Arabidopsis thaliana: one gene and its partners. The protein of the gene in region 3 interacts with the protein of the main gene of each other region in a pairwise test. Each region holds a gene or a part of one and is shown on either strand. Other genes may lie near its edges.

Region 1 (5,511 bases), about 13 Mb from region 3:
CAAAGCCCGTATCCCACAATCTCATTGGCGGTCCGACACTTCACCTAGAACATGACAGAGAAATCGACTCGATGTACATTGAGGGTATTAAATGCGTAATAGACATGAAACCATGCACACATCTAAATTCTCATGTACAAAAAGACACTCTAAAAACATGCCCCGTATCTGCTCTTATACAAATCGTAGTGCAGTCGTCCGTCGACAGGGGTATACTTGTACATCAATTTTCATCAAACATGAGCTTCACCAATTCTTATGTCAAGTCGCTTGATATCAACATATGATATCATGTAATTCTATATACTTTCCCTCTTCCCGCAGGATCCAAAAAGTTGTGCAGAACAAAAGATCATCCGAGAATATCATCTTTCATACACTAAAACGATTACTTTGAATCCGAATTCTTGATCTAGCTTAATTTAGTTTAATACTCATGTATCGTTATTTTTAGTAGTATCAAAATAATTTGAAAAAAAGATGGAAAAGAGAAAACCACGTTGGGAAAATTCCAGCTAGGGATTCAACAGAGGCACACAAGTGTGATTCTTCAAAATTCCAAATTCTTTATATTGAAAAGCTTACTGAATTATAATACACATTACATTGTTCCAACTTCAAAACATAGGCACTCTTAAACAAAACACAGAAATACAAAATCTCTTAAAACTTCAAACTTCCCAACCAAACAAAACCACATAGGCTATTACTACTTAGTTAGGCGGCTTGAAGAACTTGAGCTTAAGTCCATTGGTAACCATACTCCAGATCCCACCTATGGAGAATGCCAAGCTGAATGCAACTCCCAACCAACCTAATCCCCAATGGAAATACCAATTGAAACTGTATTTCGCCGGTTTCTTAATCAAGACCCACATGAAGCAAGGATAAGCAAATGTGACCGGGAGAGTGAGTCCACCGAGCAACCCCGCAAGACTAGACAGAAAAGGGAGAGCAACACCGATGAAAAACGAGACAAAACCAAAAAAGACTCGGAAACCTGATCTGACCCAAATCGAACACGGCTTGTTGGTTCTGCTTGTGTAGCCAGCTTCAAAGCTGTCAAAGGCAGGCATGGAGTATATCTGAAAACTGCTCAAGCAGCTGAAGACTACTAGGAGAAATGCCGTCGCTAATAAGCCTCTCGGGATATCGTGAATGTGGAATGCATACAAAGCAGCAAGCATACCTCCTGAAGGCATCTATAAGACCAAGAAAAAATAACTTCAAACTAATCCGGAAATTGAACCAAAGATCAGAAAACGAACTATAAATAAATGATATTAGTGTTCCTTTTGAATTCTATATTTCACTAACATGAACCAAACACCAGATAAACATCCTTCACTGACAAGACATAAACAAAAGATATAGTAAATGGAACTTACAAGGTTCCCATAAGCCCAAAAGCCTCCGATGGAGATTGGAAAGATACACAGAGCAATGAGGAAGTAAGAGATTTTGGCTCCTCTCCACATTGGTACGTGAGCAGGATGCTTAAACGTTGATGGCATCGTCGACTACAAAGTTTTCAATACTCAGAATAAATCATAAGTCCAATATGTGCATTATCTATAGACAGAAATATTTTGCATATTTTACCTGAATTTCCAAAACCAAGTTGTGACCTCTGAAGGCAAAAGCTATAATGCCAAGAGCATTCAAAACAGCGAAGAGTGAACCAGAAGTCGAAGGCATAGAAAGAGGCTCGTATGAGATAGTGGCTGGTCTTGGTTGGCTCACAGAGAGAACCCAAACCATTGTGGAGTAAGTTATTGCAGTCACTGCTCCTATTAAGGAGAGTCCCGCAATAGAATTGAGGTTTGGTAGCTGAGACAGAACGATGCAGAGAGATGTAAACACCAAATACCATTCAACTGTTGTTAACGGATTCGAGGTGCATAATGGACCGCAAACTATCTGGAAGAAGAGTTTCATTGTCTCTCCACCGATCAGAATCAGCGCTGTCGCGGTTCCTGCTGATAAGTAAACCGTAGGAAACAATGCAAGCCATACTCCTAACCTTTCTCCTGTTCCAATCAAGAGTACAAGATTTAGTAATAGCAACTTAGCAAGACACAAAATTAGTATCAATAATAATTGTCACTATTGATGCATTATTTCATCATTCTTAATGTAAAACTAAATTTATCATTTTACCAAAAGCAGCTTGTGCAAGCTCGACATATCGATTGTAGCGTTTCCCGGGGACAGCTTCGTGCAACTGAACCAGAATCCACAGTGTGTAGAGTTGCCAGCAATATGCTATTGTTAAAGACAGTATTCCCCAACTCCTGTAACAACAATAATTCACTTCTTGAAGTTTGGAAATAATATATGTGCATTTTCTTACATAAGAATCTCAAATACATGATCATTGCAATATCATTATTCATCACTAAGCTATTTAAGTATTGAACTAGCCAAATGCTCCACCTTAACAAGTTATGTATAGTTTCAAATATTAGAACTTGCAATAAAAAATATTTATCTAAATATAAGTTTATAAGAAGAAATAGTCATCTATTATGACGTCAACTACATGCCCTACTTATATATACACAATAAATACTTTTCAGAAAAGTGTTTTTTGCCGGAAATTAACAAGAAACAAAGTAGACGATAAAGAAGGCTCTGTCTTAATCCAAATTAAAGCAAAAAAGTATGTCTGTGAGTATCCACATGTGTAATGATGGAAGCATGACAAATTAAAAAGAAAATATCTACTGCTAAAATTGAAATGTTTTCAAAGTTAAAAAGTAAATTAGTCAATATCCTATTATTATTTCCGACAAGAAAAACATTTTTGATTTTTGCCCAAACAAGTAAAGTGAACCCTGAAACTGGATCTGAGCACCACAGAGAGTCGAATAAACCCTCGCCGTTCACTAAACAAAAATAATCTTGAAACACTAAACACAAAGTTCAAGAAAAAACTCAAAAACAAGAAAAAAGATTATTGGAAAAATCAAGAAAAACGCAAACGCACCAGCCAAGAAACGCAAACGCGACGGGAAGAACAAGGGCTTGAAAACCAACACCAGCGTTGAGATTGTGAAAAGCAGCGTAATGAGCGTTTCCATTACGAGATTCAGTGATTGGAAGCCAAGCATCTTGTGGGTTTAGCTTAGTGAGATGACCAACTTCTTCAAGATACCCTTTCATGTTCACAAGAACTCGTTTCATTGGTGTACCAATCGGACTCAAGAACCTCGGTGATATGAACGAAGTCGGAGTCCATGTCGCCGACGATGGTTTGGTGGCCGGACGAGGTGATCTTTGACCGGAGGGAGTTAGAATCTCCGGTGTTGAAACTCGTGGTGTGGCTGGTATTGATATTAGCTCTGTCTCGGGTCTTTCGTCCATTGGAGCAGGTGAAGAGTGCGAGAAGAAATGATGTTTTTTTTTTGTTCTCACTATCACTCTCTCTCTCACTCACTCCCTATTTAGAGGGGTGGTTTTTTTTAGGACAACTTTATTGGTATTGAAACAAATTTTTATTTAATTACAAGAAGAGGACAGATTAACTAACGAAATTTACAATTAAATGACAATCAAAGTTGATAATTAAAGAACATGACATGATTATTTATAATGGTCTCAACAGTAACAATTTTTTTTTTGTAACATTACGACAAAAGTAACCTTCCCCATCAATACAAAAGTTCTGAACATATGTTTGTTTGACCAGTAAGTACTAAGTATTATGATGGTGAGGTCAAGTTTTTGAACATTATGACCAATTTGTTTATTTTTTAGCAAAAAATTGACATGAAATAGGTGTTGATGATCATAATCACTTTAAGTTAGCTGAAATATTTCACCTTATCTGAGTGGAAAAATAACATTGATATATGTAAATTAAAAAATAACAATGAAATATGTAGATTAAAAAGTAACACTGAAATATCTTAGCAAAGTAAAAAGTAACACTTCAAACATGTAAATGAAAAAATAGAGAGAAGAATTTTTGAGGCCAAGCAAAATTTGCAACTCACCTTACTCTTTCATAAAAAAATTCAATACAACAATTTAATTTTACCAAGGGATTAGAGATATCGATTATATAAGGGAGTGAATGCACTATAACACCCTTCATAAACCACCATTAACTCAGTTTAAATATTTGATACAAAAATTTATCTTTGTTCTTTCTCTAATATGCATTATACAAAATAACTATTTAAAAGATTCGCAAACTCATTTCTTCAGTTTTTTACTTAAAAATAAGATAAATACATTTTGGAGTTGGATCTAAACTCAACATCACTTTTTGGATGATTGAAGATTTACAGGATATGCTTGTCTGAAAATAATAGATTTGGAGTTAGCAAAATCTTTGTATTCTAGTGATAAAATAGATACGAGTAAGCAAAATAAATTGATACACATAATTGTAATGAAGTTTGGTCTTTCAAACTACATCCATGGAATTACATAATTGCAAACGTATAAACCAAATCCATTTGCTCTGACCTACCACTAAGCTAAATTACATCTAAATTTAGAGTTTAGTCATGATTTGAAAAGGAAGAGTTACAAATTATGTCCAACTTGACGTTATTTGTATTTTATTTTCTTGTATCTCTTCTACCATCTACTAAAAGGAGATATCTTGCTCTTCAAGTTAGGAATTATCCAACATCACTTGTCGATGGACTTTCTACTGAAGCTACAAGGACATGACATGCTCGGTTATATCATATTGGAGTTGATTCACAGAGAAGATGTTGGAGAAGTACATGAAGAAGATGATGGCATGGAGGATATCACTAAAAAATACCATAATGAGGTTGGTGAAGTAGTTCAAGGAGTACCACAACTGAGAAGGTCGGGTCGACAAATAAGTCAGTCGCGGTACCTTGAAGACTATGTTATGCAGTCCGAAACAACTTATGGATTGTTCCACCAAGCTTATGTTAAAAGTAAGAGACGTCAACTTTCAACAAGTAATGAGCCAAGAGGCTAAAGATGTGCTTTAATGGAGGAAAGATGTGAAGAGGAGTTTGAATCAGTCAACAAGAACAAGATGGTTCCTTGTTGACATATTCATTCAAGTTTTGATCGGTTCAAAAGCTTTTCAAGAGTTTTAGAGAAGCAAGTCGGCTTGTCTATTAAAACCTTTTGTACCGATAAAGGAGGAGACTTTACTTCAAGGGAGTTCAATCGATGTTGCATAGAGGAGGAGTCTCCAGGTATCTAATGAAGATTCTAAATGATATGTGGAGAGAAGTCGTACGTCATTGAAAGATCATGGGACTACATCTAAAGAAACTAGATGAAGAGTCAAGAAGTATAATCACGAGGCTGCATCTCAAGAAGGTAGATGATTGGTCAATCTTGGAACTAAGTCAGATTTTAGAGATGTTTAAACCAAGTTGGGTTTTATTAGAGAATATCAAAACAAGCAAGGTCATGGTATTTGGGTGTTTTGTACTAGTCATTGAAGTACAAGTAATATTTAGCTAAGAAAGCTGAAATGAGTATGATACATTGCAACACACCGAAATT
Region 2 (4,417 bases), on a different chromosome or scaffold from region 3:
CCTCCTCTTGACCTTGTTCTATACGCAGACATTGTTAATGCTCTTACGAGGAATAAAGAGTTCGATGAGATAGATCGTCTTATTGGTGAAATTGATGGAATTGATCAAAGAAGTGATGATAAGGCTTTAGCTAAGTTGATTAGGGCTGTGGTTGGAGCTGAGAGGAGAGAGTCGGTGGTTAGGGTTTATACCTTGATGAGGGAAAGTGGTTGGGGGTCTGAGTCATGGGAGGCTGATGAGTATGTCGCTGAGGTTTTGAGTAAGGGTCTCTTGAGACTAGGAGAGCCAGACTTGGCTTCTCAAGTCTCACTCAAATCTTCAATTCTAAAACCTTGAATTTTCGGGTTTTCGGTTTGGTTTGGTTCGGTTTTTGATTAAGTTCATACACTTTTGGCAAAGATTGCACTATATTCTGTTGCTATGGTTAGTTCTTTCGATTTGGTTCGAGCTGAAATCAATTCGGGTAGCGAAAAATTTACGAAATGGTTCATTGCGATATGCGAATTGGATCGGAAGTAAATAGTTTATGCATTGAAATGTTGTGGCGTTTACAATGATCTGTTTTGAAGATTTTAGACATATGGGGTAAAAAATTGTTTCTTTGATTGTTGTAACCCTTGAGCACTGACTCTTACGGGGCAGAAACTCTTGGATTCGAAATGACTTCAAGAAATGAGTTTGTATTTGATTTTGACGATTAATGCAAAGAGGCCATAAGAAGGAAGATGCAGGAGTGCCACCAACAAATACCTGCAGATGCATGAATTAAAATATTAAGGATAGGCGTAATCATTCTAAGGAATGAAACATTATGATATAAACCAATCCTGACTAGTGTCTAGTATGTAAATGTTTTCAAGGCTTACCACACTGGAGCCATGTCTAATGACAGGTTGAGAAATGGATATGGCCACCTAAGTCAATCGAGGAATACAAGTGTAAGATTAATCAAGACGGTAAGTGTAACATACAAAAGATGACAGAGAAGAGTTTTACCCAACGGAGATAAACATGTGGAGAATCCACTGGAAAAGAACGAAACATCCTGTCCATAAGATGAAGTAAGAGAACCTGAACAATGGAAATTTCTGCAAAGCAACATCACAAAAAGACCTCAGGTTCAACACATTAATGAAAACGAAAACTCGTCGTAAATGCAGAGGAAAGAATTGTTTTACCAGACGGTTTAGAAACGTGTCAATAAGCAGCAAAACGAGGTTGCTTGTGTGCAAATTCACAGTCATCTGAAAACACAGAATTTTGACACTAGAGAAGTTGAGACTAAGTTCAAGAGGGTCAAGTGCAACGTAGAAAGTGCCATCAGCAGTGTACAAGCTTTAACTAATATACGGTAAATGGCGCGAAAACTTACGAAACTCATCTCATAGTCCTGTAAAGACAGAAACGGGAAAATCACGGTCCAATATATACTGTCTGTAAGCACAGCTGCTCCAGCACCCATCTGTTTTTCAACAAACCAAAACACACAAGTATCAGTGATCATATATACACTAATGAAACAAGAAATCTGAAAGTTGCAAACTATACATCATAATAACCAAAGGAATCTGTCTACCTGATATATAATCTGGAAGAGATGAACATATGACTTTAGTGCTTCCGAACCAGAAGTTTTTCTCTTCTCGAACGAAACCATGTTGTCACCATCTATAAGAGGCGAACGAAACCCGTTCTCTGCATCGATTCCTACTTGATCAGCGATAAGTCCAGTGTTCCCTTGCTTCTTGTATTGTAAACATCCATAAATTGAAAGCAATGATCCCATCTACACAACACACAAGTGACAACAAACATTCAAACAAACTTGACTATAACCATATACATATTCACAACATCAAAAATCAAAACATACCCCGAAGTAGATTGCTATCAAAGTGAATGTCCACCTACCAATCAAAACCTCAATCATATCAGTCTCAAAACATCAAAGATATTCCCTTTCCACACAATAAAGCAGAGATCTTTAAAGAGAACTTACTGAGTATAATAGTAGTAAATACGCCATCCACGATTAGCAAACCGGGCAATATTGTTAGCAAGAAGGAAACAAAACCCGAGAACCCGAAAACCCAACAACCAACCCGGATGGATTCGTTCAAAACAAGGTCTCCAAACATCATCAATGCACAAAACATCATTACCATTAAGTGATGGTTGAGTTTGAACTGAACTATCTTCATACTTCCATAAGACTAATAAAGAAACAATCATTGGAACTATTACCCATATAGCACATAGTAACACTCTCCAATTAAACCAGTAATCAAAGCTGGTGAATTCCAAAACATTCTCAAGATTCATTTTTTTTTTCTTGTTCTCTTGTTGATCCGTCTGAATATTCGGATCTTTTAGATCCGAAACTCAATGGGATCAACACCGGACTTGAAAACCCAGATCAAAAACTGTCTCTGCAGAGGAGTTAAAAGTAGCTTAATTGATTTACATATAGAGATATTAGTGTTAAGATTAAGTAGCTTTGATTCTTGATACTTACGTTATGTTAAGAGAAATGTAGAAGCTTGTCCTTGTTCTTGTTGTTGTGTGTGATGGAGAAGTCAAATTGAAACTTGGAAGGTGATGAGATATGAGATATGTATAAATCTGAAGAACAATCCAATGGCGGTGTCAGAGGCCCACTGGAATCGGAGAACACAGAGTGGAGACAAGGACAGGTGGGACCTTCTCCGTTTGTCCAACGCTTAGTTGCCAAACGACGTCGATTTGGTTTCGTGTGTATTTTACTTAAATAGGCCTAAATCACAAATCTCATATAAATGGAAAGATATCTACAAGCCCATTATTATTTTTAACTATTTGTAGTTAAGACTAAAATTGTTAAGTTTTTTTTCTTTTTTTGTTGGAGGAATTGCACAAAAAGAATAAGAAGTAATGGTTTATTGTATTTGGTTAAGATCTCAATTTTCTATGTAGTTAGTCAAAATATCATTAATGAATATAGATCCCAAAAGTTTTATGTATTTTTCTTTTAGTTATGTATGACTTTTCGAATGGTGATATACAAAACAAATGGAAAACCAAAATATAATGTATACAAAACTCTCATTACGTTTTTTTTTGTTTGTGTTTTGCCTAAAATTTCTGGTATTACAATACGACGGACCATATAGTCATTATGACGGTAAGGTAACAAATTCCAGAAAATTACAATACAACGGACCATACACATATTATCCCATATTACATCATACTAACCAGATATTTTGTAAACAACTAGTACTTTTTTTCTTTAGCATAGTCGATATAAAATTATTCTTTAGTGACTAAATGTACTTGTTGTGGACCTAATGGTCGTCTTCTCCTAACCGCAAACGCAATTACCATTCATATAGTATAACAGAAAATTTAACAATATATATAGATTCTTAATTAAAATGAAATTAGAGAATAACAAAAAAAAAATCTGATAAAGCAAGAAAACCTTCAATTTTTGTTTAGTCCAAAAGAAACCTTCAATTAAACCACAATATATATTACATGTCCAATTCTTCAATTAAAAGCACAAACATAATTTCATAAATAGCATAATTATATAGGTAGATATAATCAAGTTCGACTTGTTTATATTGCACGGTCTAAAGACGACCATGAGCAATCATCTCCAGCAAAGCAATCTCGTTCATCATAACTTCATCACATCCATGCATCACCATCCAGCTATCAGTCATCGGCTCATCAATCTCCATGGTCACACCACTTCCAGAACCAGACGCAGAACCAGAAGTAGACGCTGATCCGGAGGCCGACATAGCCGCCAATGACGGCATCTTGATCCTTCCATCTTCTAAACCCAAGTTATTCACACCATCCACAATATACTTACATTCACCCTCATCATACTCCGAGACCGCAACCATTACATTCTTACCTTTACCTCTCATGTTTCTTGGACCAATGTTTGCGTTTGCATTTGCGGTCATGAAAGGATCATCATTGTAGGTAACAGACCTAATGTAGTTCTGAAGAGTGTTGCTACCAAGTGAAAGGGAAATTTCATCTTTTCCTTTAGTCCTCCTCGAGTGTTGTCGACGTTTAGTCGCGTTCCAATGGTTCTTGATCGTATTTTCAGTGCGTCCCGGGAGTTTTCGAGCTATCTCAGCCCATCTGTTCCCAATCTCCTTATGGGCTTTTATCAGTATTATATCCTCTTCTTCAGTCCATCCATCTTTCTGTAACATACCACATAAAATATGCTTTATATGTAAATAATACATACAATATTAAACAAATATTTTTATTTTTTATATGTTTTTTTCTCTTTTATGTTTGTTGAATTATATGAGAGAATCCAAGTGACAATGACTTTAGTTTAAATGTCTTACCAATTGTGAAGTTTTGTCCGCAACAAGAAGACAAAATGCCTTAAAGAATTGTCATA
Region 3 (4,159 bases):
CTGCTAAAAACACTAGGGATCGAGTCCTCATCTCCATGTCCAAGTGCTAATCCTTCAAAACCACCCCCTTGCAAAAGAGTCCTTCTCCATAGCTTGTAAACCAACCAACCATCTCTCTCATACCCTAAACCGCGGTTTAGTCTCCATGGAGACGTAATTTTTTCCACTTTTGCTTAGATTTCATATTAGGTTTTGCAGCCATATCGGCCTGGAAGTTTTTGTGAAGCGGGCATGCCATGATCTGCATTCCTCCCTCAAGGTTTTTAAGTTTCTTTCCTGGTCCTAGAATGTTAACGGTAACATTTTCTAGCCCCATCAAAGAATGTTCTCAAGAATCTGCCATATACTCAGATTCAGATTTCTCTTTCTTTTCTTACTTAACATAAGGAAGCCATCTACAAAAGAAGGCACCAGTGTGTCTTTAAGAAAAAATTCTTTGGTTTGTCTCTAAGGGCTTTACTCAGATACATCATCTGAGCATTTTCCCCAGATTTCTTGATTTGTTTTCATCATCTCTGTACAGAATCTCTATCACATATATATAAAGAAGTTTTCCAGAGTGTAACTTTAGGAAAAATGAAAAACTCAGAAGGAAGAGTTTGTTGTATTGTTAAGACAAATATATATGAGTGGAAATATATGATTTGTCTTTTGGTTTGATATATATAAGTTTCTTCTAATGCATTAGTTTACATTTTGCTAATGGACTAAGCTTTCTTCTCTCTAACTTTCAGACATATTTGGAAGTAAAAAGTTTCCAAATCAAAAACAATTTTCTTGAAGAATTAAATATTTTGATCCCCAATCTCAGCTTCAGGCCTTTTTCTTCTTCTGCATTCTCTGCAGCTTCCTCCATTTCAGGTAAATTTGGTAAGACAATCCACCGAACACCATCGACACACATCCCCATTGTTTGGAAGATAACGGATTCCCGCTCAAAACTGAAGATACCACGATGCTTACAAACTTCCTGGTTGTGGTTATGGTCGTGTTAGCTAGAGACCCGAATCTGCTTATTGTCAAGAAGATGAAGTTTTGGCCTACTGCACCGCATAAACAGTACATAAGAATGTCCCATGCTGCCTCAGGGTGTTGCTTGCAGAACTGCACAGCTTCAAATCCGCTCCCATGTGGCAATCCAAACATGTAGACCATGTTGTATATGGTTCCCCATAAATTCATTCCCAGCATTATGTCCCATGCGTTAGTTTTGGGGTACCTGTATCCATGTATGGCGATGATTAATGTCCAACATCTAGACCATGTTGTAGATGTCAGACTGGGTTAAGTATCTGACAGAATGTCAAGAGTCATACCTTGCGGTAATGGAATCCTGGGTTGCGTTTGTGAATCCATCAAAGGCAAGGTTTAAGAAGCAAAGCCCGTAACCAAGGGGTGCATTGGGATGTGCTAGCTTGCTGATGGTTTTAGAGCTTGTCTGTAAACCAAGTCAAAGACGGTTTACTACATTTCCACAGACAAAGTATAACAAAGATTATGATCAAAGTTCCTGAATGCAGATTTGCCTACCTTAAGAAGGGCAAACATAGATACTCCTCCGGCAACAAGAAAGGTGCAAAGATACTCAGGCAAAGTGTATCTTATGCCATAAACTAAGGAGCCCATCAGCATAACTACATGAAAGAAAAAACATATATAAGATACACATAGCAGCAGTTGAGAGCGATTATGGATTGATGCTCTAAATTGACACCTCACCTGGAATCATTTTGGAAGATTTTGCAAGGACCTGCAAGAAGCAAGTTTTGCATCAATATTACTTCCCAAGAAAGGTTATTACCTCAACTATCAACCATAATCAAGAAAAATGAGGTTTTTATTACACTAACAATGCCTAATTTACCTGAGCTGGGTAACTAATATACTTTAAAGCTTCAATGCCCATAGCAGGACCAATGGTATTAGTAATGCCAGCACTCCAATACGTCCACCATGGGGCTCCACCAGAACCTCCGTTGGACCAGAGCTTAATCACTGCTCATAATCAATCAAAAATACTTCAGTTCCATTTATTCGTCTGTTATAAACTTATAATTCTAAGGAATAAACAATGAAGATGCCCTACTCACTTATATAAGACCAAACCAAGCAGATTACATTCTGAGCCAAATTCAGAAATGCAAGATGCTCGAATCTCTTCCCATCTTCACCAAATTTCTTCGTCGACCTAATTCGAAAATGTTAGAGTTCTATCAGCTACATTTCTATAAATTTCCAATAATTGCAAACGCATCACCAACCAGGATTCCGAGAATAGAAACAATCTCGAACAAACAGAATCGAGCAATGTCGAGAGAAAATAATCAACGAGCTAAAATAAGATTGATCGATTTCGACCCTAACGAGTTTTACTTACAAGGTCTCTTGAAGAATGCCTTGGTATATGTAAGCTGCCCAGATCCCAGCGACACAGAACGACAATAACAGAACTCGCCGGAGACCGGAACCGTGAGATTCCATCGCCGCACGTCGCTTATTGTTTTATCCGACGGAGCTCCGGCGAAAATTTGAATTTCAATTTTACGCTATTTGATCAGTTTTGCGATCAAATTATGAGATCGGTCTGAAGTGGAAACGAAAGTTATTAGAGAGAGTGTAGGAGGCGCGAGAAAGACGTAGATTTTCCACGTGTAACTGTGTCATTGGCTTAATAATCTGACATGACACTTCTGATTGGCTATAGGACGTGGATTTATTTCTGGAATCCAAGTCATATGCACATTCATGTCTGAGATAGGAATGGGAACTATGTGCCGTTTTATTGTCATGAAAACGTCACGCAGTTTCCTAGAACTTGTAAACGGATGTTCTTTTTACAGCTTGGGCCTTAATTTGATTAAGCAAACTTGCACACAGCTAATCATGTCAGTTTGACTAACTGATGAATTCATACAAATCTAAGATCACTTGTGGTAAGAAAATGAAAGAAAAAGGCGTATATACACAAATGGAGGAAAGTTGCCAACATGATTTAATTGATTAAAATTTAGTGATGACCCATTGTTAAGATTACTAAAACAAAATATGATATATCTTAAAGTAAATGTGACAATAACGTCAACATAGCGAGAAAAGTTTGAAATATCGAATTTCCATTATATTAAAACAAGGTATCACATGCATGCACTCATGCATAGTTCATTATGATTTGAGTAATTTTCTATACGAATAATATTATACTATATCTCAATGAAAATAGAAGTTATATATATTGGGAAACGGAATTTATATGACATACTTAATCCTCATGGGAGAACCAATTATACATTTTGAAGAGTCAAAAGTCAAAACTCAAAAGAGTGACTCTTACCGGATACAAAATGAAAATAGAAGTCTTGGTGAGATAACAAATTAATGTGTAACATAACAATATAATATCATAAAAGATTCCAAATGGGGCTTTTGTCCACACGTGATATGCAATATGCAAAAGAAAAAAGAACTCTCTTTCGATCTGCCGGTCAATAACAATGTGAATATAGATTAACTGATTAATAAGTAGTTTCTTGGGTCAATGCATGGGATATTATATTTAAGAAATACACCAAAAATGTATTCGACGTTAGCCACCACGTTCCATTAAAAATTCAAATCTAAATGATGATTACCGTCGTCTACATCTATGATTACAAATTTTTTGTCTACTATGCGTTTAGTTATTTACCATGGTTTGACGATTATATATATAACACACATAAATTATGACGGTTTAACGTTGTCTCTTAACTCAAAACTTAATTTTACAAAAATATTATTTAAGAGTTGAATCTCATACTTTAATTATTCATTTGGTCAACTAGAATGCGAAAAATCCACAATACTTCGTAACTAATTTCGGGTCCTTTAAATCTTGATCACCTGTTGATCAACAAAAGATCTACACATAAAGATTGATTCATCCATTGACTAAACTTTTATTTATCGAAGAAAGACTATATATATCTAATGCATGCATGCCATATGCACAATAATCTAATAGTAAATCCAATACGTCTCAGAAAGATAAAATCGTCCATAATACCAAATTTTATTCTAAGGTTTTGATATCTCTCATAATTTGGAAGTGTATGTAAAAGTTTCTTAAACATAAATATAACATCCAAAGAAAAGTTGTAAACACTTAACATCTTGATTGAAG

Evidence for each region.
Region 1: the proteins of UTR3 (region 3) and AT1G47670 interact in a protein complementation assay, tested with the Arabidopsis thaliana proteins (one large-scale study listed by BioGRID).
Region 2: the proteins of UTR3 (region 3) and AT3G27770 interact in a protein complementation assay, tested with the Arabidopsis thaliana proteins (one large-scale study listed by BioGRID).

The regions. Positions count from the first base shown.
Region 1 is NC_003070.9:17,536,121-17,541,631, forward strand, and holds AT1G47670 (Transmembrane amino acid transporter family protein), read right to left. Parts: upstream 3,600-5,511; 5' UTR 3,367-3,599; coding exon 2,990-3,366; intron 2,295-2,989; coding exon 2,161-2,294; intron 2,031-2,160; coding exon 1,603-2,030; intron 1,521-1,602; coding exon 1,389-1,520; intron 1,203-1,388; coding exon 714-1,202; 3' UTR 505-713; downstream 1-504. Other genes in the region: AT1G47680 (uncharacterized protein), read left to right, coding at 4,655-4,969. UniProt on the Arabidopsis thaliana protein: Amino acid transporter.
Region 2 is NC_003074.8:10,285,153-10,289,569, forward strand, and holds AT3G27770 (plant/protein), read right to left. Parts: upstream 2,780-4,417; 5' UTR 2,516-2,779; intron 2,430-2,515; 5' UTR 2,323-2,429; coding exon 2,000-2,322; intron 1,908-1,999; coding exon 1,874-1,907; intron 1,787-1,873; coding exon 1,577-1,786; intron 1,463-1,576; coding exon 1,373-1,462; intron 1,245-1,372; coding exon 1,179-1,244; intron 1,089-1,178; coding exon 997-1,088; intron 915-996; coding exon 867-914; intron 751-866; coding exon 666-750; 3' UTR 505-665; downstream 1-504. Other genes in the region: EMB3123 (PPR containing protein), read left to right, coding at 1-336; MYB118 (myb domain protein 118), read right to left, coding at 3,615-4,208.
Region 3 is NC_003070.9:4,910,549-4,914,707, forward strand, and holds UTR3 (UDP-galactose transporter 3), read right to left. Parts: upstream 2,620-4,159; 5' UTR 2,482-2,619; coding exon 2,378-2,481; intron 2,189-2,377; coding exon 2,091-2,188; intron 1,996-2,090; coding exon 1,865-1,995; intron 1,751-1,864; coding exon 1,720-1,750; intron 1,635-1,719; coding exon 1,531-1,634; intron 1,439-1,530; coding exon 1,317-1,438; intron 1,220-1,316; coding exon 814-1,219; 3' UTR 545-813; downstream 1-544. Other genes in the region: FLP (Duplicated homeodomain-like superfamily protein), read left to right, coding at 1-99. UniProt on the Arabidopsis thaliana protein: Essential sugar transporter required for the transport of UDP-glucose from the cytoplasm into the Golgi and the endoplasmic reticulum. Essential for pollen development and involved in embryo sac progress.